4 linked regions of the Drosophila melanogaster genome follow. The protein of the gene in region 4 interacts with the protein of the main gene of each other region in a pairwise test. Each region holds a gene or a part of one and is shown on either strand. Other genes may lie near its edges.

The links.
Region 1: the proteins of CG4318 (region 4) and Aef1 interact in a two-hybrid assay, tested with the Drosophila melanogaster proteins (one large-scale study listed by BioGRID).
Region 2: the proteins of CG4318 (region 4) and CG30419 interact in a two-hybrid assay, tested with the Drosophila melanogaster proteins (one large-scale study listed by BioGRID).
Region 3: the proteins of CG4318 (region 4) and aay interact in a two-hybrid assay, tested with the Drosophila melanogaster proteins (one large-scale study listed by BioGRID).

What each region holds. Positions count from the first base shown.
Region 1 is NT_037436.4:21,431,477-21,441,995, reverse strand, and holds Aef1 (adult enhancer factor 1), read right to left. Parts: upstream 8,569-10,519; 5' UTR 8,295-8,568; intron 8,124-8,294; exon of another isoform or gene 7,949-8,123; intron 6,972-7,948; 5' UTR 6,777-6,971; coding exon 5,987-6,776; intron 5,924-5,986; coding exon 5,787-5,923; coding exon of another isoform or gene 5,349-5,786; 3' UTR 3,357-5,348; downstream 1-3,356. Other genes in the region: CG5664 (uncharacterized protein), read left to right, coding at 827-1,483, 1,542-2,207, 2,265-3,077; CG33288 (uncharacterized protein), read right to left, coding at 9,003-9,130, 9,192-10,519. UniProt on the Drosophila melanogaster protein: Transcriptional repressor that binds specifically to fat body-specific enhancers, namely the adult ADH enhancer (AAE) and the enhancer that controls yolk protein gene expression.
Region 2 is NT_033778.4:24,225,030-24,232,574, reverse strand, and holds the start of CG30419 (uncharacterized protein), read left to right. Parts: upstream 1-2,779; 5' UTR 2,780-3,121; coding exon 3,122-3,496; intron 3,497-7,545.
Region 3 is NT_037436.4:9,420,253-9,427,061, reverse strand, and holds aay (astray), read right to left. Parts: upstream 3,810-6,809; 5' UTR 3,513-3,809; coding exon 2,700-3,512; 3' UTR 2,281-2,699; downstream 1-2,280. UniProt on the Drosophila melanogaster protein: Catalyzes the last step in the biosynthesis of serine from carbohydrates. The reaction mechanism proceeds via the formation of a phosphoryl-enzyme intermediates.
Region 4 is NC_004354.4:13,151,020-13,157,459, reverse strand, and holds CG4318 (uncharacterized protein), read left to right. Parts: upstream 1-2,535; 5' UTR 2,536-2,599; coding exon 2,600-3,310; 3' UTR 3,311-3,999; downstream 4,000-6,440. Other genes in the region: CG4332 (uncharacterized protein), read right to left, coding at 597-1,391, 1,471-2,364; CG32645 (uncharacterized protein), read right to left, coding at 4,503-4,631, 4,743-5,366, 5,550-6,440.

The sequences.
Region 1 (10,519 bases), on a different chromosome or scaffold from region 4:
GAGCAATAAATTTTTACTCTCTCAACGTAACGGTTCTTTTTGTTTTTGGGCACTTGCTGCAAAAGTGCGCGAAATTAGGCGGTAACAAACATAGCACTGACCACGTATTTGCTGAATAATATTAATAGAAGTGATTGCTTTGGGTTTTTTTTTCCACACATTTTATAAAAAGGAATTGAATTGAAGGTTTTAATTGAATTTTTTCCAAACGAAGGCCCAAAATTCTCAAGTCATGGGTCGCATAAAGCATTGTACCGTCGAAAAAAGAAATTTGATTAAAAACATGATCTCTGAAGGTAAAACCTACGCTGAAATTGGACGCATTGTCGGTTGTTCAAACAAGAAAGAAAGCCCTCAATGTCCAACGTTGAGATCAAGCCCTTGGTTCGACAAAGCCTTTTAAGCCGGCGACGGAACTGAAGAAGGAGCTTAATCACAAGTAATAAGACTGGACTGGACGTATAGGACACACCATTTTAATTGAAAATTTGAATAGAGAAAATTTAATAGAGAGTTTGAATTTTGGTTATTTCCATAATTTCGATATTATCGCATAAGTTAAAAAGCCGTTGAGCCCATTAGTATCGATTGTTCTATCGTTTTACCGTATATTTGGGCGGTCTGTCAGCGGTCACACTTAAAAATATCCCCGGCAAAAAAAAACACAAATTGTGTTTTTAATACTTTTGATATTCTAGCGTAAATAATTGTTACGCGCTCTGATGTCCACCACAATTAACGCCATAACGTTAGTCCTGGTCTAGAGGTTGAAAAGAATCCTGAAACCAAAGAACCTGAAGATCAGTTAGTAACCGAAGGAATTGCAATGGGTTCCAACGGCGAAGAATTATTGAATTTCGCAATGAACTCAGACAGCGTAAATACCATAAATTCAACAGCGGACGTCGCAGAAATTGTCTTAGACACTAATTTAGAGTTCAACAAGACGATTCCTTTTCATCTGCCTCAGGAGTCGGACGTGGAAATGGTCTCTGTCAGATCAGCTGCCGAACCTGATCCTAACAAATCAGATTCCAAAGCAAGTAATAAATCAGATTCCAAATTAGATGGTAAATCGATATTAGAGTCAGGAACCAAACCTCAGGCGGCCCCGGGGGAGGTTTTCGCTAGGAAGGCATGCCTCAAGAGGACCAACGAATATCCTGCTCCGCTGAATCATACTCTCAAGAAACTGAACTGGAAGTTTAACCTGCGTATATTGATCTCAAATCTGTACATGAAGAGCGAGGATCGTCTTCCGGGAGCTTGTGTTTCCAGGTGTCTTTACAATACTAGTCTGTGCACGCAAAGACATCGGTGCTCCGCGCTTCCGGATGGCCCAAACTTTGCGGCCGTTCAGGCGCTACGAACCACGTTGCACGGCCAGCACTACGATACATTCCTGGACATTCTGGAGATGATGGTGTTGCAGGGTGTCTACCCAGGCGAAGGAGTCTTTGACAGACTAATAGATATGGCCATGGTTGATTGCTTATTTCTCTGGTGTCACATTGTAATAATATCATGAATTCCTTATGCAGATCCTAATTGCCAAAGAGATAAGCGTAAAGGAGCTTGGCGACATCTACAACAAACTTATACGCACCTTTTTTCTTTTGGTCGACGCCTTTCCCCCGTGCTGGACAGCCCTGCGTCCTTACTACTTGAGTTTTCTGGGCGTCTCGCATCCCCCCTTGCGAGAAACACGTTCAACCAATTCTACCCAGAAGTTGCAGTTTTACATCGATCTTTTTGAGGAAAATCTAACGCATTGCAGCGATGAAGAGATACGTGAAAACACCAAATTCTATGAAAAGTTTGTGTTTAACTTCTCGGAAGAGGAGGATGCGAATATGTCCCAGGAAACGGTCTTTCTGCGACATGTACAGCAGTATGACTGGCAGAGTGGGAAGCTTTGTCTGGACGACTTCAAGAGAATGTCGCCCGCAGTCCGCTTGGCACGGCTCTGCGATGTCCTGAACATGCTCACATGTGTACTGGAAATAGAGTTCCTCTCCTGGCTGGATCATAACAGGTTGAGGCAGTCGGAGTCGGAGCTGTTTCAGGAAAACTCCAGGTCATTTGCCTCGATCGTATTTGAAATGTCAGCAGGAACGCGTCTCAGCGACATCGTTAAACAAATTATGAGTCTGTATGGACAGGTAGTGGCCAAGTCCATGTACCCAGAACGCCAGAGGATTCTCCAGGTAGGTTTGTAATGTTTTTGGGTTGTATGCTTTATGTAACTCTTTCAGTACTATTAGCGCCTTGTTTCCCTAATTGTCGAAGTAAGCAACACGGCAGAGCTAAAGTACGAGGATAATGCTGTGATATATCCTAGTATGGGACCCCAAACCCATCTGCTCATCGAAGACTTCTTCAAGATTTTTAAATCGCACAATCGCAAAAAGGTTCGCACCTACCTAATGGCTATTCGGCAGTTGGACCCCCCATATCTCCGCTTCGAGTTCACAGACCACTTTTTGAAGCTCTTTTTCTTTCCCAAAAAAACTCATTTTGGACCGGAAAAGGTGGTCGGAGAATTTAGAGCGCGTCAATGGGTAAAGTACAATCTTAAAAGTGAGATTGAGGATGACGATGACGAGCAGTTGTCGCGTGAGGATTACCTAGCATTACTCCTTAGCGCCTTAAAAGACTATGACAAGTGGTTAAATCTTGGAGGCTTTTGGAAGTACCTAATGAGTAAGGAGCTCGTGCAGCCGTTGACTGCGAGGATCAGTCCTGTGGGAAGAGTTGTGCGCGAGGCGCCGAAGGTGTTCAGGCTCGATGCGTTGGAGGAGGAGGTACACACCTGGAAGGAGCGCATGAGCACCAAAGTAATTACAGGTCGGGAAAAGGTGAACCTGCCGGTGGCCAGTATCAATATGGCCAAGATGTGTGTGCGCTATGGCGAGGATGTGAGACAAATGAGAGTTTTGCGACAACTCCTTCAAAACGAAGTTTACAAGGAGGTCGATGTGTCGGACTGGTTAACCTATCTGAACAACTTTCTGAGCTATGAAGAGTCCATGTCTCCAGTAGACTCTGCGTCTTCCTCCTTATTGGGAGGCATATGAGGGCCCAAATACGAAAATATATCTAAGGCTCCATTAAATTTAAGGAATTTCATACCGAAAGTTCAAACTTAATTATTTTAAGCCCGTTAATTAGTATTTATCTAAATGGTTTCAAATAAGAATGCATTTGATTCGTTACCGTTTGTCATAAATTCCGTTTCTGTATTTCTCCATTGCAAATATATATTTATGCTGTAACTAAATACACAATTACGTACACATTTACATATAAATACAGCTACTGCGCATGTACATACATACATTAATAAATATATATGTGTATAATTACATAATATTATCGCGATTTGTTTTTAAGCCTTTTGCTTGTTGGTTTTTTTGCAGTTCCTCATCCTTCTGCCATCTCGATTTGCCTAACGTGTCTTGTCTTTGTTCATTGTATGTCTAAATTCTTTGCAGTTTACATTTTACACACTCAACTATCATTAAAGTAGGCGCTTAAATGCTAATCTCACTACGTCATTTTTATATTAAGTATATGCATACGCTGGGGAGGGTTAGAAAAGCTGGGTGCAGAGCTCAGATGTTACAAAGAGCAGAATCCGATCTGCATCAAATATTAAGCATTCATTTTAGAGCGACCTTTCAAATTCTCTAGGGATCTTAGATCCTGGCGAGGATCTGCATTCAGGGCCTTGAAAAACATAGCACGGATTCAAGCGTTGCTCTTATCATTGCTCTACTAGGTTGGGATTTCGGTTTTTTGTTTCTGCTGTCTTGTCTTTAATTTGTTTAACACTACACATTTATCAACATTTATTTAATATTCATTCCATATAGGCTAGGTTTCTTTGAATGTGTCTCCACTTCCCGGCTTGCAATTGATTCGTATACATTTGGGGACATCCGTGTTTGTTGCGCTTTGAATTCTATAGGAACTTGATACAGGAGTCTTTTCGGTTTGACCCTTGCTGCAGTTTTTAAAGGTATTTAAAGGCGACCGGCGTTTGAAACAAAGGACAGTCGGGATGTGAGGAAACCAAGGGTAACATACATAAATTAAAGGGCTAACATAAAAAGTCACATGTTGTATTTTTAGAAAATATTATTTTCTCTTTTAAAAAGGTTTTCGTTTACAATTTAGTTAAACTCTTTCGCTTTCGCTTTATACATACAAATTGGAGTTGGGCTTTGTACAGAACTTGTTGCTTTACTATCTCATAATCGTAATTAGTTATGAATTAATTAGCGTTACTTTGTGTTTACTTCATTAACTAATATTTAAACGAAGGCTAGCGTGACAGCTTTTGTGTTTCCAAATTATGCCAATGCTGAAATTAAAACTACTAAGACTAATCAATTAAAATTAACAAAACGCTGATTTAAAAACTATGGCTCTCTAGGGACTAAGAGCTAATTAGATAGTTTCGACCACTTAACACTATTAGAATATTTTTCTTTGCCGTTTTCTGTTCAGGATATTTTTTTAAGTTTTGCTGACAAGTTTACGAAGTTAAATAATTAAGCTATTGATTTTATAAACAAATTGTATTTGTGTTAGCCCAGACTAAAACACGCCCTTGCAAGATGGCGAAAAACGTCACCAACTTTGAGTTGTACAACAATTTTTCTTAAGCTTTAAATGCTAAATTAAACAACTTAAAAGTGAGTCGGGTCAACAATTTACAATCTGAAACGGGTTGCACTTTGGGAAATATTTTAATTAAGTTCTTCGTACACGTAATGCTTTTTGCCTTTTGGGTTTAGTTTGCTCTTGCTATTAGCAAACTATTTTCACTCTAGTTAGGGTTAGGTTATTTTATAAGTGAGTAGAGAGGGGTTTAATCTATTTCCGGGGCTGAGAGGGTTGTGAATGTGAGATGGGGTGCGCTGCTATAGAGACAACTCTCTGCAAAGGTCTTTCATCTGGTTTTTAGTTTAGCTTTACTATTATTTTAGTATTTTTGTTTCTGTTTTTGTTTACGGTTTGTGTTATTTTTTTGGGAGCTCTGGGTGCTGGTGTCGGCGCCTTTCGTTTACCTACTTTTGAAGCGTTTGCTATACAATCATCTTGGTAAGTTCTTAGTCACACATTTAAACCTTAACAACAACAACAATGTTCGCTACAATTAAACAACTAACAACAACGTAAGCGTACACACCAAACATGGCTCACTTCTGGCTCGATCGCTGCTCCTCTTTCTGCTCCTGAATTTCCACTACATCCGCATCCACTTCCGACTCATGCTCCTGTTCATCCTCTTCATCCGCATTCTCCTCCTTGAGCATGTACTCGAGGAGCAGCTCATCGACTCATCCCTCGCGTTGCGTTTCCGCCGTCGCTGACGTCGTGGCTGTGCCACCATTCGATGGTGACTCCACCTTGATCACTCCAAGCTGCTGCAGTTCCTCTCGTGTGTGCTGGATGCGACCCACCACAACACCGCCCATGGTCACAAAGCTCCCGTCCGCCGTCACAGCGCCCAATTGCATAGCGCTGGATAAGTCCCCTAGAGCGGCCACATTAAAATGATGGTGCGGCGAGCCATCCTGAATGTGCTGATGCTGCTGGTGATGTTGGGCCACTGTCGTGGCGGAGGGCAACGTGGTTATGGTGACTCCACGCTGATCGATATGCTGCTGCTGCTGCTGGGACGGAGGCGGCGGGTGGTGCTGATGCTGCTGCTGTTGATGGTGGTGCTGGTGTTGCTGCTGCTGATGGTGGTGCGCCGCCAACGGCATTCGTCCTAGTCACCCCTCATCCTCCTCTGTTTTGATCTTAACAGGAACGTAGACTTTGTCCATGACGTGTATTTTTATGTGGTTGTTGAGCGTGCTGGACTGTCGGAACTGCTTCTTGCAGATGACACACTCAAAAGGCTTTTCACCTAAAGAATAAGACACAAATCAGTTTCGGTCAAAATTGTATGGTAGCACACTTCATCACTCACCCGTGTGGATCTTCACATGGTTGGCCAGCGTGCTCAGTTGTCGAAAATGCTTGGGACAAAAGTTGCAGTTATAAGGCTTCTCGCCCGTATGGATCTTCAGATGGTTCGTCAGCGTCGACGATTGACGGAAGGTCTTATCACAAACGTTGCATTTGTAGGGCTTCTCGCCAGTATGGATCTTTACATGGTTGGTCAGTGTGCTTAGCTGTCGAAAGCGACGATCGCAGACGGTGCAGTGGAAAGGTTTCTCCGGCTCGCGGACAGCTCCCCCTACGCCAACGGCAGCGTTGCCCTCTCCGGGATGCTCGCTATGTCCATTGGCCAGGTAATGCTCACTGTGGATCGTTGTCGGACTATGCGTGGTCAGGTGCGTCAGATGTGAAGTTGGTGGCGGCGGTTGCTGTTGTTCCGCCGCAGCAGCTTGGGCTGCTGCAGCTTGGGCAGCTGCCATAGCCGCTGCTTGGGCGGCACTATGCGCCTCCGCCGAGATCCCGCTTAAGTGCATCTGGAAGGGCAAGGGGAGTTCCGTGGGTGGCGGCGGCACAGAGGGTGGTCCGCTCGACTGCTGTTGCTGCTGCTGATGATGTTGCTGCTGCTGTTGCTGTTGTTGTTGCTGCTGCTGTTGAACCGCCGCCATGTGAGCCGGATGCGTGGCCTGGGTGACCGTCTCATTGTTATTATTGTTTGCTATGGTGGTTTGGGGCTGGGCGGCCACTATGACAATGTCGCAGTTACTGCTCATCGCCGTAGCAGCGGCATGGGCATGGGGCAGGCTTTTGATATGCATCATGGACTGCTCTTGCTGGGATTAGGTAGTCTGGATTCGGGATTCGAAGCTGGATTTGAATCTGGTGGAATAGTGGAGGGAGACTGCGGTACCTCGGTGACTTGAACAGAAAGCTGGCTAACAAACTAAGATCGATGCTTCAAAAATGCCACGACATGCTCATCTTGGGCGCTTCTCTGATGTTGTTGCTGCTAGTGCCTGTGTTTGGAGAAGGGAGATTGGGATTAGTTGAGTCGGCGGCTTGGCTTTTTGGTATGCAAAAATATGTGAGGAATTCCCAAAACATACGAAATACCTAACTGCGAAATTATAAATCTAAATTATTCAATAGCTGACACACTTTGATAGCTGGGCTCCCGGCTCCAGCTCCACTTCCTCCCCTTGAAGCCCCCTTTCCATATGGTTCCTATGGTTCTTTGTGTGCCCTTATTAGTGAAACGCATTGAAGCCCATTTTGTGTCCTAACTAGCATATTACTCCTTCGTCTCCTTTAGGCAAGCCTCTCTACATAAATAAGTATTTGGAACTACACGGCTTACATATCCATACATGTTTGTAAGGAGGTAACTGGCTTACTTTACGGTGTGAAACTATGTTTTAAATCATTCAGGTATAATGATTAACGTATTAAGCGTTCAAAGCAATATTCTTGCGAGAGTAAATATTTTCGGGCTTTATAACATTTATTAAAGAGCCATACTAATATTAAACTCACAAACAAACTGTGATGAGTAATTTTTAAATAAGATCCATAACGGATGACCGAATCCTTAAAAGATTTTTATGACTTCGATGGTATGAAAACTTCGAATATACGTCAAAGAGCATAAATTATTAAACATACGATTGATTATGCATTTTGAAACAAAATAAAACGCGCGCTGCTTGCATGCATGTAACTTTTAATATATTTTTTGAACGCTGGTTTTTACGTTCGCCGGACAAGTTACCTGACCCGCCCCCTGCTCACCCACCAGACAAGATAGACACTGAGGCCAACACAACACGCACACACATGGAGCACTCAGGTATCTCTCTTTTTGTGTTGAATTGACAGCGTGTTACTTTCTCGCCAAATTACATGTGTTTTTCTGGCAACTTAAGAACTTAGTGATAACTTTACCAATTGGATAACAATCTCAACGGAGGCGAGATCGACAGGATTCCGAACTGACCTTTTTTGGGCGGGCTTTTTGGGGGATATTTTCCCCTTTTTTCAAAAGCAGTTTTTCCACTAACACGTTGCCTCTAGATCGCCCCTCGCGCTCCCTTCTTCAGCTAAAAGTCACAACCACTTTCAGTCGCACACACGTATGGACATCACTAGCGCACACACGTACACGTACTGTGTAAAAGCTCTTTTGAGGTTAGGATACTTTTAATTTTGGAGCTCTCCGCTCGAAAATGTCCATTGTTTTTCACACGTCTATAAACGCTATTTTTGCCAAATGATTCCAGACGGAATTGGGTATACTGAGTGACACACTTGAACTCTTTTCGGGCGCCCACACATTGACCTACCTTTCCATTTTGTGGCTGTGCTGTGTGGGGCCTTTCAGGTTTAGATTTCCCCCGTTTTACATCATTTTTCGCACTCGATTCGGTTTTTTGGGGGATATGGGCCTTTCGGAGGGTGTTCGCGTATTGCTCTCGCCTATCAGAATCGGGTCCTCACAGCATTATCTGTGGCTGGTTCTTCATTTATAAAAAGCGTATAAACGTTAGAAAAATAGTACAAATATTTCTTTTCTTTTTTTTACTGTTTCGCGTACAAAATAGACGCGAATGAACTAGTGCCAATTGGGGATGGGCGATAGCTATGGGGGACCTGTTACTGATCACGAGTGTGAAGGAATCACGATGACTGCCCCGAACTCAATGGGAAAGTTGGTATAAGAGATCAAATTTGGGAAAATTCTCAGATTTATTTAGGCCAGCACATCTTTATAATTATTTTTTTTCCCACCATATTAATATAAAATCATTTTCTAATGTGACTTCTCGTGAATATCGAATTGCCATCTCTATGCTAAATGAGCTAGTTCCACTGAAGTCATTCACATAGGAATATGTAAGTTTTCTTTCGTTTTTGAGAGGTTTTCCTCCCGCCACAGTACGGTCACACTGCCCGGTGCAGAACTTTTGTATAGGAATTTCGTTTGCATTATTTTTTATTAAATTGTACTTAAAGACCAAATGCAATTGCTCAGAAAAGTGCAGGTGCAAGTTTTATAAAATCGTGCAGACCCGCGAAGCCTGCGACTGATCACCATGTGCCTGCCCATTGGTTAAACTCAGCTCGCTGTTAACTTTGTTTGTGTTTTTGTTGTGACTTCCAGCCGGCGGACGCAGTTCATCTATTTGGAAGGTAAGCAGAATTTAGGTAAGTATATACTGAAGGACTATACTGAAAGGTACCTTCGATCCTGACCGCTTTTTCGTTACGGCACGAGAGCCTGTCCATCACCTGCTTCACGAATCCCTTAGCATCTTCCTCCTTCTGCTGGGCCACAGCTTGAATATGGGAATTTGCCCTCAGTTGCATGGCCCGAATGTCATCCTGCATCGCCTTCTTACTGCGCTCCACCACTGCATCTAGAGGGTCTTCAAAGGTAGTGCTTGGCTCGAAGATGTTGCCATTACCATTGCCATGTCCTGCAGAATTGTGGTTTGAGTTTACAGAGGCCGTTGTTCGTTCATCCTCCTCGTTGGAACCCAACGTTGTGGTGGTCTTTGGTGCCCCCTCTTTGAAGGACAAGTCATCCTCGCCGCGAGGTGTGGAACATGGCGTGGTCTGTGGATCAGCCTCCCTCGCCGCTTTTATCTGAAACAATGAGGAGATGTTTTCCTTGGCGCCCAGTACTTCAGTAGAGATCTTGCTGGTCACCGAATCCATAGCCCTGCCCATCGAATCTTTTGTTTCCGAGGCTGCTTTGACCGCATTACTGCCCGCCTGCTCCACTGCATGCATTGCACTACTTCCTACTTGTTCCACTGCGTGCATTGCATCGCTGGCCAACCGATGGGCACCTTTACCCGCCGCTCCTACTGCTCCTCCCACGGTATCCACGGCTCCTCGAGCTCCAGTAGCCATTCGCTCGCCTACAGCTTCCATGGCATCACGAGCTCCATTTGCTGCATTTTTTACCGCTGTTTGAATCGAGTTACGAGTGGAGTCCATGACATCTATCGCGTCTTCGCCGACTTTGGACACCGCCTCCTCAGAGCTCGTCACAATTTTGTCAACTTGCTCCTCACCACGCTGCATTTTTTGCTCTCCATCTGATTCCAGATCCTCCACGGAGCTCTCCAGTGGTGTATCTGGCATTTGTTCCTCTACCCTGGACGTCACATCCACTCCGTCGTTTATGAACCGTATTTCGTTGATCACTTTGCTGCTGTCCGTTGAGTCCTTCGTTGTGGTTATTTCCACGGCCAGGTGCTCATCGTCTTCCGTGGGCGGTGTTGGTGTGTTCACGTGAATTTTGGCCGTAGGTACTTCCTCCACTGTGTCCAGACTAGAGACCAGTTCGGGAGAAGTCCTCTCCAGATGGTCATGGTCCATGGCAGACTCGTATGAAAAGTTTCGTATAGGCGTCTTTTTTATTGTCTGCGGTGTGCTAGAATTACTGCTCTCGGGATAAGGCGTGCGTGGGCGTAAAAGTGTTTCCTGGCTGCCAGGCACTTTCGGCTTGGGATCAACTAATTCCATATCGTGTGCGGATTTATTCGACCTTAAAGATTCT
Region 2 (7,545 bases), on a different chromosome or scaffold from region 4:
TCACACGCCTGTAAAAGTTAGCGGAACAACTTTTTGTCGCTTGGCAATAATCATAAAATTTCACTGCATATGAAACAAAAAACCATAAAAGCGGTACCAAAAAGGGAGCACAAGAAACGTGATTGCAGCATAAAAGCGTCATTTACATGCCGTTGTCGTTGTCGCTGCACTTGCATCACTCGTCCTGCCAGCCAGATGTCCTGGAGTCCTGCCATCGCATCCTGTTCCATTTGCGCATGCGTCGCAAACTTTTCCGTTTGCCATTTGCCGCCTCAATAGTTACCAGCTACCAGCTACCACTTCCCCGCCCCACGGCTTTATTGAGGTTTTGTTTAAGCTTTTAGCGTAGTTTCCACTTTTTGGGGGGCAGGAGAGCCAGTAGCCAGGGGCTACAGCTAAAGCTATAGCTACAGCTATAGCTACCCATTCCATTCCATTTGGCCAAAAAAAGTTTTTTCGGTTCTGTGTTTGGCCGGCAGCATTTTTGCAATTAGGCAACTGTTCTATACGAGAGTACATTTCTTTTTTACTTCTCTTTTAGTTTGCCAAATGCAATGGAACTTTTCATTTTCGGCCACAGTTGCAGAGTTTTCATGGCTAGCAGCATTCGGCACACACAGAATTCACATTCACGCAGAGGGACAGAAATTGGTGCGTAATTGAGACCGAATGTAAGGCCATAACGGCCTTTGAGCTGCTTTTTTATTTGCAGCATTTCCGAAGAGGGATATTTATTAAATTATGAGTGGAAACTCGCATACGAAAAATTATTTAATTGGATATGGTATTTTTTCTACGGCCATTCCAGGCGAATATTTCGTTTGATAGTTCTGCAAACGGGAAGAATTCAATGGTCTGCCATTTGAAGGATTTCATATTTAAATGGAAATTAGTATGTCTGGTGCAAAGGGTTTCGACCAATATGCTGTTCATATAGGCTCTGAAAAGTGTGCTGCATTTAAATATACTTTGTTTCCCACAAAGAAGATAGATCTTATTCCATTCCGTACATTAAATGTTCGTTAAATACTTCTTTAAGCTCGCTATTTCACCTGCAGTTAGGCATCTGCAAGCTAGTATCTGACCCCTTGATCTATTTGCTTGTTGAACTTGTGTTTGGCACTTCATTCCATTTGGCGCCAAGCAAGCGGAAGGCTCATCAATATGATGGTCGGGTCGCATTATCAAACGTATTTATTTGGCAAACAGCAGGAATAGCATGAGCAGAAACAAGGCGGCGGCAGGACACGGACATAAAGATAAACCAGGATGCTCTTATCGGCCGAGATGAAAGCAAGAAAAGTTGGCAAGGAGTGGGAATGGCCAAGGACGCACACGAAAACACGAAAGTCGAGCCGGATATTTAGGGCAAGAAGAAGAGGGCTTTGCGGATACAAAAATATTGCGCACGTTGACAGCTTAACGTACATAATTAATGTGACAATCTAACGGAATGCGTGTGTGCGGACATTAATATATGGGCATTGGGCCAGATAAACATGTTGCCGAAATGATCAGGCCGAGTGGCGAACGGTGGTCCACAGATGACGAGGCGTACATTAATTACGGGCCCGAGACCAAAACCAAAACCAAACCGTTCTGGCCTTTTGGCCAAGTCGACTGCTCCGCAAAGCTGCGAACTCATTAAAGGAGCAGGCAACGGGGCGTATGCGTGACGCGTGCTAAATAAATTGAGAGACAAACAACAAACATTAAAAGTTTTTATTGCCCAAATGCGTTCTCACCAGAAATATAAATGCGCACATCCGCATACGAGGCGGCTCCCCGGCATCCTCGGCAACACAAAGCATTAAATTACTTTATAATCCGTTTATAGCTCCGCCCGGAAGTGGTCCAGACTGAAAGCAAGCAAACAAACAAACAGACAAACTGGCAAACACTCACGACCCGCCCCCTGGGAGGGCAGCTCAACAGCATAATCAAATCAAAGATTACGTTGAAACATTGAAATTACGTCTAGAGCCGAAAGCACTCATAGTCATAGGCACTACCACCACACACTCGCCGCACACGAACACATACACACACAGTCACACGGTCACCCGCCGCCTCTTCTTCTTTCCCGTCCGTGTTGACCGAAATTAAATGTTTTTGCCAGCTCTACGAACTTTTTAATACCTACGGCAGGGGATTCCGATATATGAATGGTACTGATCAGCGATATTAATTGGCAATTGTATCAACTTAAGTGTAAACTTTTTAACCAGTTTATTTACCAGGATTAAATACATAGTCTACGGGCGAAAGAAAACTTAATAGATTTCTGTTTTGTTCGCACCCAATCATCTTCTAGCCCTATCGATGGTGCATACTTTCTAATAAAACAACAAAAGGTAGTAGGTATTGTAGATTCAAAGATGAAAATTACCATAATTAATACGCAGAAATGCCTCCTTGGTACCCATTACACTCGAGTATTCCCCCGTCGCGACCGAAAAATTCACAGCCTAACGTGGGGCGCCTCAAACAATTACAAACATAAAGCGGGGGGCTGTACAACTTTGACCCTGGGAAACGTAAACAGCAAGAACTACGAAACTATGGGCCACAAAAAAGGCCGTAATAACTGTGCTTCATTCATGCACACAAGGTGATTCGTGTTTCTGCGCACTCCTCTCTCTCCTCTCTCTCCCTCTCTCTCTCTCTCTTGCTCGGCTCGATGCTTATGCTTATCCTTCGTACTAGAGTCCTGCCGCTCTCTTTCGAAAAGCTGGCAACCCTGCAAAGCACACATTTACGAACCAGAAGCCACGGCTTTTATCAGTTGGCTCGCTGACTTTGTGCTGTGAACTTCGACGCGCTGGAAGGTCCTGCGAAGTTTTCGCATTTCCTTTGCTGGTGTGGAAGCGACGTGTTTTGTGAGTGCGCGTGTGTGTGTCTGTGAGAGGGCGCCAACTTTTCGGTGAGACTTTAACCACCAGTAAACAACAACAAAGCAAAAACATTGACAAAAAAGCAAGAAAGGCGGAAAGGACACAAGGACACAGCCTGCGGTCAGGGAAACCGCAATCAAAAATTGTAAACAAACACTGGAAATCGAGCGAAATCAACAAAGGAAGTCGACGCCGCCCTGTAGGCAACGATTCCGCTGCTAGCCAACATGGAAATGGACGTCAATCGCCCGACCGGCCGCCATGGCAACCTAATGACCATATCCGCCCGCTGCTCCAACAACAATGCAGCCGAAGCCGGAGCCGGAGTTGGAGCCACCAGGACTCCGGCCGCCGGAAGTGAGGCGCCGCCCAGCGGCTGCTGCGGCATCTTGGGCCGCCTCCTCTGCGTGAGTCGCCACAAGGCCACGCAATCGGTGGCGGGCAGCGATCCCTTCTCCCAGCTGCAGTTGCAGCGCAAGGGAGTCGCCACACCTGCTGCCGTTTCCGGACAGCGACGCCGCCGGACGCCGCAGGAAATCTACTTCGAGAGTCGCGGCAAGTCCTGCAAGAAGCTGCTTAAATTCAATGGCAATTCCAACAAGGTGAGTGGCGAAGGGCAGGGGCATTTCAATGGCTATATCCGCACAAAAGATACGGAGATTCGGCGGGATGCGCATCAAATCCTTGCTCGCGAAGCTGCTGCATTCAGTGGATTCAATTGACTTGAAGTGGAATAATCAAAGCATACTCTAGCATTGATTTTGCGATGCTCTTAGCTGGAAAGTATTCGATTTAAAAGGGGGAATATGTTGGAAGAAATACTCCGTTTCCTTGACAAAGTGAACCAGAAAGGGTTAAGGAGCAGCTACCAGCATCTTCCCCTTTTTAGGTTCTTGAGCGAACGAATAAGTGGATAATTAATTTCTAGTCTGACCCAGTGCAGCTGGAATGTTTCGAGAAGCCGGTCCTTTTGTTGTACAGTGGAACACCTTGGGAGCGTCCCAGTGCTTATCGCATAATGGAACAATCCCCTTCTCGAGCGCATTGCAAACAATCCTAAAAGTGCATAAATTTTACAGTCTCCTGACTACATTGTCATCCATTGCGAGGCGAAGACCTCGTAGCCGGAGTCCTGGCGCCAAAGTGCCACGAGCCATGAGCCAGGAGCCACTCAACCGTAAGGTAGCCAATACCCAGGGGTCCTCCAGAACCCGCCCGTCTGTCCCGTTACCCCACAATTATAGACGCGTGTGTGTGTGTGTGGGGCCTTTGTTATAAATTTTGGAAAATTTGTAGCAAAAGCTGCGGAGTGAAGTTCGCTCGATTGCCCCCGGTTTGTTTGGTTTGGCCTAGGTAAAATGGAAAATGCGATGGGATGGCCTGGGAAAATAGGGCCAGGCTACACACACACATTCGCACACTCAGAATGCTTATGCCACTTTGCATATAAATCATTCGGCATTGTGGCCAGAACGCAATGCGCTTATGAAATATTTCGTTTGTTTAATGCGCCAAAGGACAACATTCCACTCCGCCCCACACACTGTGGCTCTACAGTTTACCCACTTTCGTCCGATATCCCCAAATTCCCACTAATTAAAAACGTGCAAAAGAAAAGCCAATCAAAAAGGTCGATGCACAACAATGGCTGCGTGCTCCTTCTATTCCGAAAGCACCAGAAAAAGAGATGTTCAATTATGCCATTGCACTGTGAGAAATTATATCTTCAAAGTGTGATTGAAATAATTGATAAGGCTGGTAGTCCAAGTAAATGGGGACTCCTTAAGTTCAGCATAGCATCTCTAAGCTATGTTAACAAGTAAGGCAGATACTCCATTCTGGTTTCAGGAGATCCTCTGTGGGACTCCCAAATTTCGCCCAATTTCGGGTTCCCGAATTTTGTTTCTCTGCACGAGGGAGTGTCTGCATCAAATGCACATTTCGCACACACTCTCACTCGGCCCGCAATCTGCCGGGCATCACGCACTGGAGCGCAAGCAACAGGATGAATTTGTTAAACAACACGAACACGAAGGATCTGCAGGAGCTCGAAGATTGGGCAGCGGTACGGAGTGAAAAAGTGAAAAATGAAAAACCCATTCGCCCTATCAAGTGACATCATCAATTTCAGTCTATTTTGCACACAGTCGACTTGTGGCCCTGGTCGTCCGGTCTTCTGCTCTTCTGGTATTCCGGTCTTCTGGTCGTCGTGGTCGTCCTGGCAGTGCAACAATGCCAAAGGACATTAACACCAATCCGTTGACAACGAGTGCACAGGAACGATGGAGACATAGACGCTCAACAGCCCGCTCCCGTAAAATTCAATTCGAAAAGCTTCACTCGGTCATTGAATCAAGCGCTTTGAGCAGCAGGCAGGGGCAGGATCCTTTGATGAACAATCTGATTACCCCCAGTTTCGTCCTCAAAGGGTAGTTTACACATCGTCCCCCATCGATTTTATAATGAAGCAATAGCAATAGCAACAGCAACGGCAATAGCAATAGCTTAGGTAAAACAAAAACTGTTTGTACACAGGATAAATGGTATCCATTTGCAACCACCCAAAAAACGGAAATCAACCCCCAGATGGATGTATATATTCCTACGGCTACGGATAATGTTGCAAGTGAAATCTGTCGGGTGAAGTTTACCCTCTTAACCGAATGCGATAATGCTGTAAGACATATTTACATTAACAGCTGAGTTCGCGGGGGGAAGATGGTGTCTCTGAAGTCAGGGAATACCGCGGCATATGCGAATTAAAAATGAATCTATTGAGTCACATCTTGATCGAATGATATGGCCCATTTGTCTCATTATTTGAGCGACGACAATGGCTAATGCAAAATCCTTTACACTTTAATCTGCCCATTTAGTTTTAAATGGCCCTTTCTTCATGCCGTGTAATTAGCTTGCCGAGCACAAAGGCCAATGCAATCAAGGACTCAACGAACTCGCAGAGTGAAAGAGTATTATGAAAAAATGAACGTCCTCTTCGGGCAAGGCGGAAGTGACTAGCCACTGGCCCTCCCTTTCAGCCCACTGCCCACCCCCTCTGGACGTCCTTGTAAGCTGCTCACTGTCTGCGAGCATCGTTATGTCCTGCCTCGAATGTGAGTGTGTGTATGTGTGTGTGTGTGCGCTTACATATGCATATAAAAGGAAGAAAATGCCATCAACATTGCAACGTTGTAATTGCCAACAGGCAATGAAGAGCCACAGCCAAAAGCAGCAGGCGGAAAGGGCGTGGTGTGCGGGGAAAGCGCAGCAAACTGCCAACTGCCACATGTCCTGCCAGCTCAGCTCCAACAGAAAAAAGGACTCTCCGCCTGGTCGCTCACTACCAACGAGGGTCACTCGTAAAATGTTCAATTAGGGAAAGATTACATCATTGAATGCAAACAGTGTTTCGGGCCAAGTTTAATGCCTACCTACTTATTTGAGCCAACTTAATGTTGTGGTATCACGTTTTACCACATCCAAATAGACATTCAGAGATGGTTCCATTTGAAAATATAAAATACTGTCTGTATATGTATCGGAAATTTTGGAAGCACTCCCCTCGAAGGATATGTGCGTTGGCCAACTGGGCTGTGCGCCATTTTTAGCACACGGCTAATGTGTTTTGGCTGGCGCTGCTGCTGCATTTTCCATGATGAAGGATGCAGGAGGCAGAATGCTGGATTCATGGCTAGGCAGATGGAGGTGGAAGAAGGTGGGGCTATGCGGTCCACTCCAAACTGCAATGTCCGTCTGGCTGACTGATGAGCTGGCCGCCCGAGTGTCGCCTCTGGTTTTGCTGTTTGCTGATTTAGCCGCCTCCATCCAACTATTCATTATAATCAGGCCTGATTATGCCCGCCCAAAAGTTAAGCAGGCCAAGTCAATTTGGGAGTGTATTTATTTAACTGGCGCTGGAAGCCGGAAAGTTGAATGCGGGATGACGGGAGCTGGGCGCTGGATGTGTATAAAATAAAAAGTCATAAAACTGAGCTGAACCGTTGATCCAAGTAGTTGAAACACAGACCCTTTTTTTGCCGAGCAGATGAAGCGGTTCGGCTGCCTTTATTTGGCTGAAGGGAGCTTCAATTCCCTTCACTTCCCTTCCCATCGCAACCTCCTCTTTTTGGTTGGCGATGACGATGACAAGGGTGCTTTGCCGCCTCACTGACTAAATAAAATTGGAATTTATTATCATGATTTGTAGCAAGAAGAGGCCAAGAGACAGCGGCGAAATGGCGGGCATAAAAAGCACAGCAGCCATCCACAGCAGCCATGCCATCCCATTGCTCCTCATCAGATCCCAGACCCTGAAGCCCAGCTCCCAACTGCCTGACTCATCGTCGTCGAATCCTGAATCCTGAATCCCGAGCGCCTAACCCAAAGTCATAGACTTAGATAAGTAAGCGGGGCACTCTTAAATTTATATTCCCCGGCAAAGATTTAAATCGCTCTGGTCAAAGTTGAAGGCAACGCCTACCACTATCGGTCGGGGCGGGGCGGAGGCGGATGGAGAAGGGGGCGTGACAGCCGCAGAAGGCTTAACTGTGCAGTTCCTTGCTGGTTTATTAGGGTTTTCCCTCCAGCTGCTAAGGCGATTTGCTGCCACCCGCATTCAAGCTGATGCAGCTGGCCGGCCACGGGCCGTATG
Region 3 (6,809 bases), on a different chromosome or scaffold from region 4:
TTATTAGTAATTCGGATATTACTCAAGGTGGGACCGTATTCGCGAAAGTGTGGCCGCACTGCAGCGCTGGAAGTGTAACCGCAGCTAGCAGGCATATCGATAGTTGCTCAGTGGTGGAGCTGAAAGGGGGTTCTAACGAGCTTATCATTTCAATAATGCAAAAGAAGATATAAAAATGTAACTGAAAATGCTAGTTGCTTGGATTACGTTACTCAAATTTCGATATCTTGAAAATATTGGAACTGGCACTCTTTAAGACTCCCATCCCTAACCAATCGATTGACCGGTTAGCTGCATGCCATCTCTATGTGGCAAGCCAAAGCTTCGCCTGGCTCCAAAGAAAACTTCACCCCCAAAAATTTGTGCTCGCCGCAAACGATGTTCAGTTACTAACCGACTTTCGCGCAATATCCACACGTCACGGCTACGGCCACAAATCATCCGGTTCTTTACTCCGATTCCCAAAGCGGCGCGTATACATACACAAACAAACAAAGCAACAAACCGCGGCGAATTACCAGGTGTGTGGAAAATACAGAAATACGAAAGGCTCACCAGTTTTTAACGGCGTTTTTTTTGTTGGGTTCAATTTGAGACAAAATTCAAAATCAATAAAGCAAGACAAACCCCCCGCCCCGCCGACGCGTGTGTGAGTGAGATACATAGTTACGACCGAATCGCAACGCGCAGCATCCGTAAGCATCCGAAAATTGCAGCGGAAAAGCCGGAATAGTGCATTCGCCGTGCCACTGGAAACTGGAACGCGAATCCGTGAGATATTTCGATTTCCAAGCCCAATCCCCCCGAGGCTGTTGTGTTTAACCGTTCCAAGCGTTGCGGTAAGTCTACTTCGTCAAGCTTTCTGTTTACGTTTATGCCAGTTTTTCATACCCATTTCCATTCCGCTGCCCACCGCTTTCGTGCCGCTGCCTTGTGGCTCAGTGGGCACATAAATAAAACATCTTTACGTCATGCGACGCGCTCTGAAGTCATGACCAATAGACAAAGACACCAGCGGCCACGCAGAAATAGCCAACAAGCGCCTCATTTGCATGGCATCCATGATTGTATTATAGAGTAGAATTTCTGTTATGTCTGCACTTCCCTTAAATGTGGCTTTTTTCCAAAATCTACGTTATTTAATTAGCATCCACAGTGAAACATTTACTGGATAAATTACTTCTTTAAGTAATAAATTGCACTTTGAACTATTTAAATAAAATAACGTACAATGAGAATTGGGAAGGCCTCAGAAGGCCTCCTTTATAGAATCCTTACTGTCACCCAAATCACCCAAATTGAGTGATTCAGATTCACTTGGGCTGCAGGGCATAACAGACGCCTTTTAAGCCCAGTTCATTAGGATGGTGATATCATCGGCGGCTGCTTTTTTCCCGTTCTGCGTTCGAATGCAACCTTAATTCACGCCCCTATACCGTTCAAACGGCAGTCGAATCACGCCTAATATGGTCCACATTTAAGCTGGCTCAAAGCGTTTCCCGCCGCCAATTAAACACGATGACGTTGACCGCCAAACCGCCCGTTCCATTCATGGTTTACCGCCCAATGCTGGCACCCACGCTTCGGCCTTGCCTTTGTTTTTGCTTCTGCTTGCCAACTGTTTCAACTCCGCTGGAGTCGATTACAGCAATTGATAATTGCCGCAGAGGCGTTGTTTTCTGGTTTTTAACGGCCTTTTGAGCCGCCAATTGCTGGCACCTTCGTGTTAAAATCGAAAGGAATTCAAGCTTGGGCAATTAAACAGCTGGTCTTCAATCGCAAGTAAAGCAACAAATTTGATGCTTAACAAAAGTATTAGTTTTCCTACAAATGTCCATATGCCCAATCTAAATTCTCTCATAGTCGAATTAGTTTTTAATTTGGCTTCAATACATAAAGAATATCTAAATGGGTTAAAACACACCCATTTATCCAAAATTTTGAAAGTTGAAATCTGGAATCGGCTGCCCACTAATTATTTATTTTCCCACGACCCTTCACCTTTCGGTCTATTGTTATCATTTTGTTCTGGTATGTAGATATAATAGGCTTATAGACTTACTGGTTTCGAAAGACGTCAGAAGTCGAAAGTAAATTCGTCATGAAAAGAGCATTTGTTTTGTTGTTGTAACCTAATGGGCTATTATTGCAACTGCTAATAGCTCTGCAAGGCTGCATTTAAAACATTTAGGCTTTAATTGGTTTTACCTAATTGGTACCTACAATCAAAAATTTAAATAAAGTATTTAACATACTATTCCATAGAAAAATGAATGTTTTATTTAAACTTTTGTTGTATTTTTCGTTTTTGTTCGCCATAAACATATAAATACAGAAATTTATTTTTATACATATTTTATGTGCATGAAATTTCTTTAAATTAAATAAATTGCTTACAGTTGGATGCTAAAGCGTGAACTGTTCATTAGCATAAGGGCGCACCCTGTATTTTTACAACTTCTGCTGATTCACTAACAGTGCGCGCTTAACATATTCTGTTAAGTTAACAGTAACAAAGTTGATTTCACTTGTTCGTTTTCCATTTATTACTATCGCTTTTTATTATTGTTTAATTACGAACTAACGTACATATTATTACACACATACTTGGGCATAAACATGTGCATCACTACGAGCTATAACACGTTGATTTCAAATACTAAATTCGCCACTCCCCCACCGCCTTACGTATACGTATCTCACTGCCCCATCAGCTGCTCAAAATCCGTTACGTAATACTGTGCACGGCGATAGACCTCCGGCCGCACGACATTGCCACCGAAACCTATAAAGTAGTTGGCTGGCGGTACGGCCTCCAGATCGGTGGCTCCATCGCCGATCATGGTGATTAGGGAATCGTCGCTATTCTCCTTCCTTATCAGGGCGATAGCCTCTGCCTTTCCGCCGGAACGCGAAGTGGGCTGGTTGATATCAAAGCTATCGTATTCGCCCAAATAATCGAACAGCATCTTGTTGGCATAGACGTTTTTCAGGGGAATACCCAATTCATTGGCCACGGGCGCAATTAGGCAATCGAATCCGCCGGAGATCAAGTAAACCTGTTTTCCCTCCGCCTTCAAATGGCTGACGAAACGCTTCACGTTTTTGCTCAGTGTACTGGGTCGCTCCTGGATGAAATCCCTCACTTGCTGCTGTGTCGGCCGTATGATGTTCAAGCGAATTTTGAGGGCATCCTGGAAGGTCATGGCACCGCCCATCGCCTCCTTGGTAACGCGAGCCACCTCGCTCCCCTTGCCACAATATTCGGCCAGTTCGTCGATGCCCTCCTCGCAAATCACCGTGGAGTCCACATCGAAACAGACGATCTGCGACTGCTGGATGACCTTGGCCGCCAACTGGGGCTGCTTGGGCGGTGTTATGGCCGAGGCCACAGTGGTTTTCGCCGCGCCACCGGTGGTGCCATTGCCATTGCAATTCAGCTGTTTGGTCAGCAGATTATGGCCATTTGTGGCTGCTGCAGGACGCGCCAAACTCAATACGGAACCGCTCATCTCGACCGGCGAACACGTTGTGTTTTTTGGAAGCGGTTTAAGTTTTGGCTTTTCGTTTAACGTTTGGCGTAAAAGCTTCGGCTGTGTTTGGTGCCCAAAATTTTCCACTGCTTCTCTTTTTGTGTATCTCTTATATCTTGTGCTTTTTTGTTGTGTATGTTTTCTCGTTTCTTTTTGCACACGCGCTTCGCGTTGCGGGCCAGCTGTTTTTGTTTGATAAGTGGTTACGGTTTGTGTGTGCCAGCGGGTTTTCCTTAGTCGAACTGCTCGCGATGACTGATTTTTCACAAGTGACTCAAAAACAGTCGATCGCCCTTTTAAGAAAACCCGCTCAACGCACACAAAAGCGGTTTCTCTCTTTTTGTCGTTCTCTCTTTTCACACTGACCACACGGAACGAAAAAATGATTACCGACCACACGGAAAGAAAAATTTATGTCCAGACGAAACTATTTTTGTCCAACTAGCTGATTTGCATAACAATTTAAGCCACAAGAAACTAGATTAAAATTTTACATTTAAATACATTATCAAATCGAAATATCAATAATTGTAATTTATTCTTACAAAATGTAAACGCAGTTGCTTTCTTTTCAGTGTAGCGATCGAACGATAAGCATTACAAGTGTGCGAGTGGGAGAGAAATGCGTTTTTGTTACAAACTCCAAACCGTTTTCGTTTTTCGGTCAGTTCAAGAAGACTTCCAGAATACCCTAACTTCTATGGCTTATATTTTTATCCGCGAATTACGCTCAATTTTCATTTAATCAGTTTCAATTGAGAGAGAATTGCTTTGGGGGAACGTGAACCTTTGATCACAACATGTGCTGCATGAATGCGACAATGTCTGCTTATCACAAAATATATAAACAATAGAAACAATTATGGTTGAGCTGTCATTAAACTCGCGACACTCGACTGCTTAGAAGAACCGCCTAGAACCAGATTTTCCAGCAGGAGACCATCGCTCCTTATCTTTTCTGGCACCATTTCATACTTGAAGATTGCCAGGAGACCTGGTTCTGGGTCCAGACATCGAAAGACTACCTCAAAAATTATCGACAAACAAATAACAAGTGTGGCATTTATGACCCCGGTTCTAGAAATGTTGTCTGGTAAAATCCAAACACGGGCGCATGCTGCTTATCACTTTGAAAACGAAGTGTACTTTTTGCGTCTGGTTGATCCCCCTGTTTTCAATACTTTCTTTTTTGCATTAATGCTTAATCATTGATGTGGAAAATAACCGAAATCTCAGCTGATTAACGCTGGTGTAAGCCTTAGGTATTTTTAAATCGGCTAGACTTATATTTAAACTGTTCCAGTCCGACATTCTGATGCAATTTATAGCTACTGTTGCAGTGTCATACGCTTTCATGTAAGGTGAAGTATCTTTTTTCTCAATTTTCTCTCCGAACATTCATGATTTGACTTTTGAGTCTCCGGTAATTAGATACAAATCAACAACAAAAGCGAGGGGCGTGCAATTGCAAGTGGCAAAAACAACAATGACGGCTGTAAATGCAATTCTCTCTGCGGTTTCTTGTTTTTGTTATCGTTGCTATGGCACTTTTTTCGCAATTGTAGAATAACAAGTTGTTTTGATCGTTTGCGATCGTTCCGTTCGTGGTAAACAGCTCAAAAACAACAAAAAGTAAACTGCGGCTAGACCGCAAAAAGTATTTCAATGCCACGTTATCGATAACGATAAACAATTCATTGCGTGCAATGCGTGCATGTGCATGTTTGAACATGTTCTCATGCATATTTAAAGCTTACTTCGGCCAACGACTTCCACTAAACAAAGCCGTAAACAGTTGACTGCTTTTAATTGCCGTTGCCTCGAGCGACCAAATAACCAAAGAAGGAAGGAAAATCCAAGGGAATAACGGCCCCGACCACACCTGTACCTTTACCTGAGCCTGTCAGCGGCTGCGGCACCTGTCGTTTACCGTTATTTTTTGTTTTACCTTGGCAACTCGTCTTGGGTTTTGGGTGTACCTTTCGGCTCTGCATTTATCGATTGACCTTGTTGCTGCATAAATTTCCAACCAAGTCCGTTTCCATTTTGTATATGTATGTACACACTTTCCCTGGACATACAAACTAAATAGAGGTAGGCTCGTCACCTGATCCGGACCGCATGGCAAAGTACCCGAGCTGACTAATTTATTATGCCCATTGAATGGCCGACGCGGTAATGGTTCTAATTCACAAAAAATTCGTTGAGCAGTCGAAACTCTTAATCTCAAACCACTAAAGACCATTTAAAGTTTATTAAAAGTTTGAACTATTAGTTTGTTGGCATTTCAGAATAATGTAACTTTTTTGTTGCCTACTTTCTAACACATGGTTTTGAATGGGCTTCTCATAGATATGAATGTTTTGTATATAAAAGATAATAATACTAGGATATCGAGCATGGAAACATACTATGTATAAAAAAAGTTCGACTTTTGAACAGTTTACTGTACTTCCATACACAGCACTGCGGAATTTGGCGAGGCAGTTGACAGCTGTTCTGTAATGGAGCTCTCTGGCCACACCCCAAACTATTTACGCCCACTTCCAGACCAAAATGCCGGGGGCTTGCATAATGACGCGACACTTTGTGCGATTGTTATTTTGTAGCCGACAGCTGATAGGCTCGGCATAATGGCTATTATTCCAGACTGAAGGCTTGGCGAAATTGCTGTATTAATTTTCATCACCAGGCAGTTTAATCGGGAAATGACTATTTATATTTGGGTTGCCAATTGTCTGCACCTCTCGATTGATTTGTTTTTCCACTGCTGTTTCCATGCCGCATTGTTGTTTGTGCGCTGTCTACTGATTAACTGTTAAATTGAATATGACGATCCCCCTTTCCTCTCTAACACTCGACTTGTTTATGGCTGCACGCGATTTTAATGCCGCTGATTAACTCTCTCACGCTCTTACATTCACAGCACACCTGCATACGTACATGTATGTAAGTGGAAGAGAATCAAGCTCACTTGACACATTTACAAGTGGAGCAAAAGGGGAGCACAAGAACTGCAGTCTCCCTCTTGCACTCACCCCTTAATGCGGAGCGTGGTTTTCTTTGTTATTCTGGTCCTTTCTTTTTATGTCCTCTTGTATTTTTGTTTTGCATCGCTTGAGGTTGCTTCATAAACAGTTAGAAAGTGGGCTGATTGTGTATGGCAACGTCAACGGTTGTGCACTGGAAAAATAAACAGCCAATGCAATAACAACAACAATGTAGTCCCCTTTGCTGGGGGCCATCAACATGTGCCACATACAGCCGAGGTTGTGC
Region 4 (6,440 bases):
ATGGCATACAAATATAAAACTGTCTATAAAATTTGATTCGGTTCACTTTTAGAAACACTAAAGTTTAATTTTTATTACGAGTGATTTCAGTTGACTTTATATATATTTAGCCTTTTGATACTTTTGGGTTCCCTTTAAATTTTAGAAAATGCATTTGTTGGTTAATTGAGATTTTAGAATCACTTGTAGCCTTACGATCCTATACGATTTCATGTTAACTGATTGTTTCTAAAATACGTTTTGATCTACATTTGGATATATTATTGTAGGGTTTTAGCTGACCAATCTAACAATGTGAAAGGCCAGCGTTTGAGTCATCTCACAATATTTCATAATTTATACTTTAAAATTATGTGTTTTAGTAAGTTCCATAGTTCTGCAATCCTTTGATGCTGTTGATTTAAAATTGTATAAAACGCATTTTCAGTTGATGCTTCTTAACTTAACGATTTACGCACAAGCTTTAAACGGTTTAGACTACAACACAGGATTAATATCACTAGTAAACTAAAGACGGACTCGGATTACTACGTCTCGGGCTAGACCTCAAGCTATAGGCGGAATGTGCAACCTTTACTCCTTTTGCTGATATAGGATCAATTTCGCTTCTTGCGATTGGCAGCAATGGAAGCGGATGAGCTGTTGCCCGTATCCGGGGTCTCGCTAATGGACAGACCCGTGTCCAGCCGACTCTTGTCAACCGGATACAGCCAGCGCTGATACAGATAGATAATAAACACAATATCATCGCGCAGGCAGGCCACCCGATGGGCCGTGGGCATGGTGATGATGAAGGCGAAGAAGTCGTCGATGAAGGTATTAAATGCTTTATACATAAATGCGCGCCACGGCAATGCGGCCACAGACTTCAGCTTGTAGTTTACAAACAGTTGCGGCAACATGAACAGGAAACCGAAGGCGTAAACTCCGTTCACCAGTGAGTTAAGTGTCCATGAGTACCAGGAGCGGTGTGGTTGGTAGAGGAGCGAATAGACCGCTCCGCATATACAAAGCGGATACAGCAGATAGCTCAGATATCGCATGCCCTGTCTGTCAAACTGATCAGTCTTCTGCTCCTCCGCCAGCTGACCTGACTTCACGCCAGCTTGGTCACCATTCCGCCGGTCAACTTGCTCCAGCTTGCGACGAACCAGGCCACTGAAGCTAAGCTCCAGACGGAAGATTTTCTTGCACTTCCACAGCTCAATGAGCGTGCCCAGGCCAACTGGCACAAGTACCAGATACGACGTATTCTCATCTAGCAGATAAAAAAAGATCACGATCTGCGAAAACGCTCGCCACATTGTGGTGCGGCTTGATAGCCCCTCGTACGACTGCTTTTTGCGCCAAAAGGCCACGTCGTTCTTAAAGCTTAAAAAGTCGAAGAGCATCTGCGGGAAAAGGGAAACATAAATTAGTTATAGGACTGGAGCATATGACGTATGTTGCAATTTTTCAATCTCTACTCACATGGATGCTGGACACAAAGATGGTGCCACACAAAAGGTATACATTGGTGTCCGAAAAGATGCCTTTCACCTCGTCAATATCCTTGGTAGCAAATCCAATGGTGAGCAGCGCCTGGGTGGCGTGTTCCATGAGCAGCATTAGACGGAGCTTGCCCACGCCCACGGGCTTGTAGTGGAAGCTGAATGTGAATTCGGTGGTATTGCGGGTGACGGGCACTAGATCCTTTAGCCGCGTATTAAATGTATCAGTCTGCAGGATGGGCAAGATCTGTTGATTGCGATTGACACGTATCAAGGGGGCCATTTCAGGTGGGACATCCGCTTGCGAAACGGAATAGAGATCGTTGAGCAGGGTGACGTAAACATTCGATCGGATGTGGGTGCTGGGACGTCCAGTGGTGGAGGCTTTCTTCTTTTCTTTCTCCTGGACAGCGGCTGCTGCACCTTTCTCGGAATCTCCAAGCAGTTTAAAGGCCTCCGCCCGCGGCACTATGTAATCCGTGAGACTCATCGTATGGACAACGGTGGGCCCATCTCTGCGCAGGCTACGCCATTCCAGTGGCTCACCCTCCAAGGCCAAGACCACATGAAGATACAGGGAGCCATTCCGGCGCGTCCTCAGCGGCACATCCACTTCGAAGTCGTGCTCAAAGTTTTGATCATAGTCGAACCTCTTGGCCTTGTACAGATCCCGCACCTCGGTGGCAATGGGACTTCTGCTGAGGGAGGAAAACAATGCCAGTTGCAGGCGTGGCCTGTCCGCCAGGAATGATGTGTAGCACGGCACACCGCTGCATTGCAGCGTAGTGAAGAGCTGCGACATCTGGTAGATGGAGTGGCCGATGTACGCCAGAAATGCAACGCCTAGAAGCGTGGAGATCGAGGGCAGGGCCATGTCCTCCTCTTACGGTTTTCTCGTTGGTGCGTTGGCCGGCGTTTTATTGGTATTGGCACTAGAGCCGGCAAAACATTAAAAGAAGCTATCGATAGTTCCGGCAGTATCGATGATCTAAAGCTTCAAAAACTATCGGTTTTTATTGTCCCTAACGGTCGTTCCTAGCACGTGTTTCCAAACTATCATTCCCATCCCAACGTGATACATGTCAAAAAATTAAATTTAACTAAAAGCAATGGATTCCAGGATGTGCCGTGTCTGTTTGAGGGAGATGGAGAACATGCTATGCATCTTCGAAACGATGCCGCTACCCGGCGTTTCCCTAGCGACCATGATTTCCGATTGGTGCGGCTTCCCGGTTCTACCGAAGGATCCTTTTCCCAAGACCATTTGCCAGTCTTGTGCGCTGGATGCGCAGACTGCTTACGGGATGGACAGCGTGCAGGTGATTGAGCAGGATGAGATGGTGGTCAGTGAGATGAATTATGAGGAAGAAGGATCGAATGACTCCGATGTTGAACTGATTGAGCCAGTCGATGGCAGCCAGGAGATGGAGACAATTGACTTGACAATCGATTCACCGGGGGACAACGTGGAGAATATGTGCCCCAACTCAAACTCCAACGGGAATGGCAATGTGAGCCAGAGCAGCGCCCAGAAGGATACCAAGAAGAAAATGCTGAAGAAGACACATAAATGTAACATTTGCGGGAAGTATTTCATGTTACCTGCGCACCTTAAGTGTCACATGTGGGTCCATGCGCGTGAAAAACCTTACAAATGCTTACAATGCTCCCAGTCCTACGCACAAATCCGCGGTCTTAGGCGCCATGAGCGCGTACATAGTTCGAGACCTGAATTACGATCCTACAAGTGTTCCCGATGCCCCAAGATCTTCAACAGAAACTCTGCCCTTAAGAACCACGAGACCATGCACCATAATTAATGCGATCCTACAAGTGTCCCCGATGCCCCAAGATCTTCAACAGAAACTCTGCCCTTAAGAACCACAAGACCATGCACCATAATTAATGCGATCCTACAAGTGTCCCCGATGCCCCAAGATCTTCAACAGAAACTCTGCCCTTAAGAACCACAAGACCATGCACCATAATTAATGCGATCCTACAAGTGTCCCCGATGCCCCAAGATCTTCAACAGAAACTCAGCCCTTAAGAACCACGAGACCATGCACCATAATTAATGCGATCCTACAAGTGTCCCCGATGCCCCAAGATCTTCAACAGAAACTCTGCCCTTAAGAACCACAAGACCATGCACCATAATTAATGCGATCCTACAAGTGTCCCCGATGCCCCAAGATCTTCAACAGAAACTCTGCCCTTAAGAACCACAAGACCATGCACCATAATTAATGCGATCCTACAAGTGTCCCCGATGCCCCAAGATCTTCAACAGAAACTCTGCCCTTAAGAACCACAAGACCATGCACACCATAATTAATGCCAAACCAAGAAGAACGACCATGATGTTAAAAGACTAATGCAACGTGTTACCAAAGTATAGGGAACTTCGAAAAGCGAACACCTCCAAAGAACCTCACAACGATTATACTCATTTTTTGTCAATCCGATATATGATCGTTGGAATAAATACTAAACGCTGGGACACTGTATTTGGTAGCAGTTTTTATTTAAAGGTTTATGTATAACAATATACAGCATATAGTATATACAACATGATTTCATAAAATTAGGTACTAGAGTTTTATATAATTATAACTATGAAGTACTATGTATAACTCTCTCTCTTCGTCACGCGCGAAATTTCCAAACCTTTGGAATAAATTAAAGGACTAAAATGTACACATCATGAAACAAAAATATGATAAAAATAGGTTGAATTGATTTGCACGCTTCAAGTTGCACGTCATGTTTTCCTCGATTTTGATTTGTTTGTTTGTTTTTTTTTTTTAACTTTTATAACTGGAACACATTGTGAGTGAAAAATGTGGTGCAGAGTAATAAGTACATGTATAGATAACGATCCGAAAGAGTCGAGGGTGCAGATGAGTCGATGCTATAAATATGTGGGCATTGTTTGATAGACAAGAAATAGATAACATGACAAAATGGAGGGTATAAATAATCGGAAATGGTCGGATCTCGGCTCAGGACTTAGGCGAGGCGTTTCTTTCGACTAGGCGAGAGGATCTTCAGCATTGTGACGACGGGCGCCTCGAAGGACATCGACACCACGAAGGACAGGAAGTAGGAGGCCACCGTCAGACCGAAGAACATGACAACCTGGAATAAGCAATAAATAAGTTATGATAAACCCTTTTCGTTGTATAACCAATTTAATAGATTTTGTTTTCTTAGACAGCGATTCTACAGCGACTTCATCTTCCAACTCACCATCAGATCCCCGCCCAGGTGAAGCGGCGCGTCCGAATTGAGCGCCATGGAGCGGATGACTATCGGGTGGACCAAGTAGGCGCAGTAGGTGACGCGGGAGAAAGGATAGAGGCAGGGCGCCGAGAGCAGCGAGTTGATGTAGCCGCCGTAGCCCGTGGAGCAGGCGATGGTGATCCAGGCCAGTGACAGCGCCCAGGCCGAATGGCTGAGCGAACTGTAGGCGGCGGCGGTGAACTGTGACAGGTCGGCCTTGTACAGCCCGAAGACCAGGACGAACAGATTGAGCATGGCCAGGGTCCAGGCGGTTGCCACCGTCAGCTTGGGCAGTCGGATCTTGCAGTTGGTCCTGAATAGAATCCAGCCCACGGCCATGCCGATCAGATAGGGACCCAGGCGGGTCCATGGCTTGTCGTAGATCTTGTCGAACAGAGCCAGCGGATCGTCCGTGTTCGGTCGATGATTGTTGGTGAACGCAATCACCGCCGTGGTGATCCACGACAGCACCAGGAACACCAGTGTCGTGATCGCCGACAGCTTAAAGTGACGCACGCCCACGATCAGGATGATGGCACCGATCATATAGAACTGCGTGTCATTCGCCAAATACCAACTCCAGAGCATGCACTGCGGATTTAGAGAAATGAGGAGGAATTTTATATTATACTTGTGACGTTCGTAAATTGTTATTCAAAAACAGAAGCCCAACAGTTCTCAAATGCATGAGTGTGTATGGGTGATTACAAGTCCCTTTGTCTTTTGAGCACCAATTTATACTTAAGGCTAACAGCTATGTTGAATAACACTCACCATCTCATCGACAGGAAACAGGGTGTTGATGTAGAGAATGTTGCGCCACCAGTAATCCGGACAGGTGATGTGATCCATGGTGGGTGGATCAAAGATCGAGTAAGTGGCCAGATACTTCATGGTCACCTGGACAACGCCCAGGACGAACAGATAGGGGGCGGTGAGACGCATAAACCGATAGGCGACCAGGCCGAAAAAGTGAGCAGTTCCAGCGGTGAACTCATTGGCTCCCTTGCTTAACTTGTTCAGCTTGCCTTTGGCATTCGTTCGGAAGTAAATGTACGAGATCAGGAAGCCACTGATGAAGAAGAAGGTGTCCACACTAAACGGCCCATTGGTGATGGCCTGAAAGAAGAAGTTCTGCTCCACCTCCTTGCGCATCTCCATGTTATCGGAGTACTTGAAGACCACGATGCACGTGTGGCCCAGGATGACCCAGGCCATGCTGAAGGCTCGCAGTCCATGGATGCACGGAATGGTGTCCGCACCCACATTTCGATCGCAGATCGCATTGAAGTTCGTTATCGCCGAGAAGGAGAGCAGCAGCTCCGAGTAGATGCTCAACTTTTCCGGCTCGTGCAGATGCCCCTCCAAGTGCTCATCCGAGTTGCTATTGTTGCTCCCGCTGCGATGATGATCGTGGTGATCGTGTTCCGCATCGTGATCGTGATGGTGTCCATTGCCGCTGTCATTATCGTTCGGTGGCAAATTCAGTACCAAAGCATCCAATTGCTTCAGCGAATTCGACGACTGCGAGTGATCCGATTGCTTGAGCGGATCATCGTGAGCGGTCATCGTGTCACTGTAATCGGACGACGCACATCCAATTCCCGAACTCGTCTCGCTGTTGTTCATCATCTCCTTGTCCTGGCGACGCAGTGCCTCCTTCAG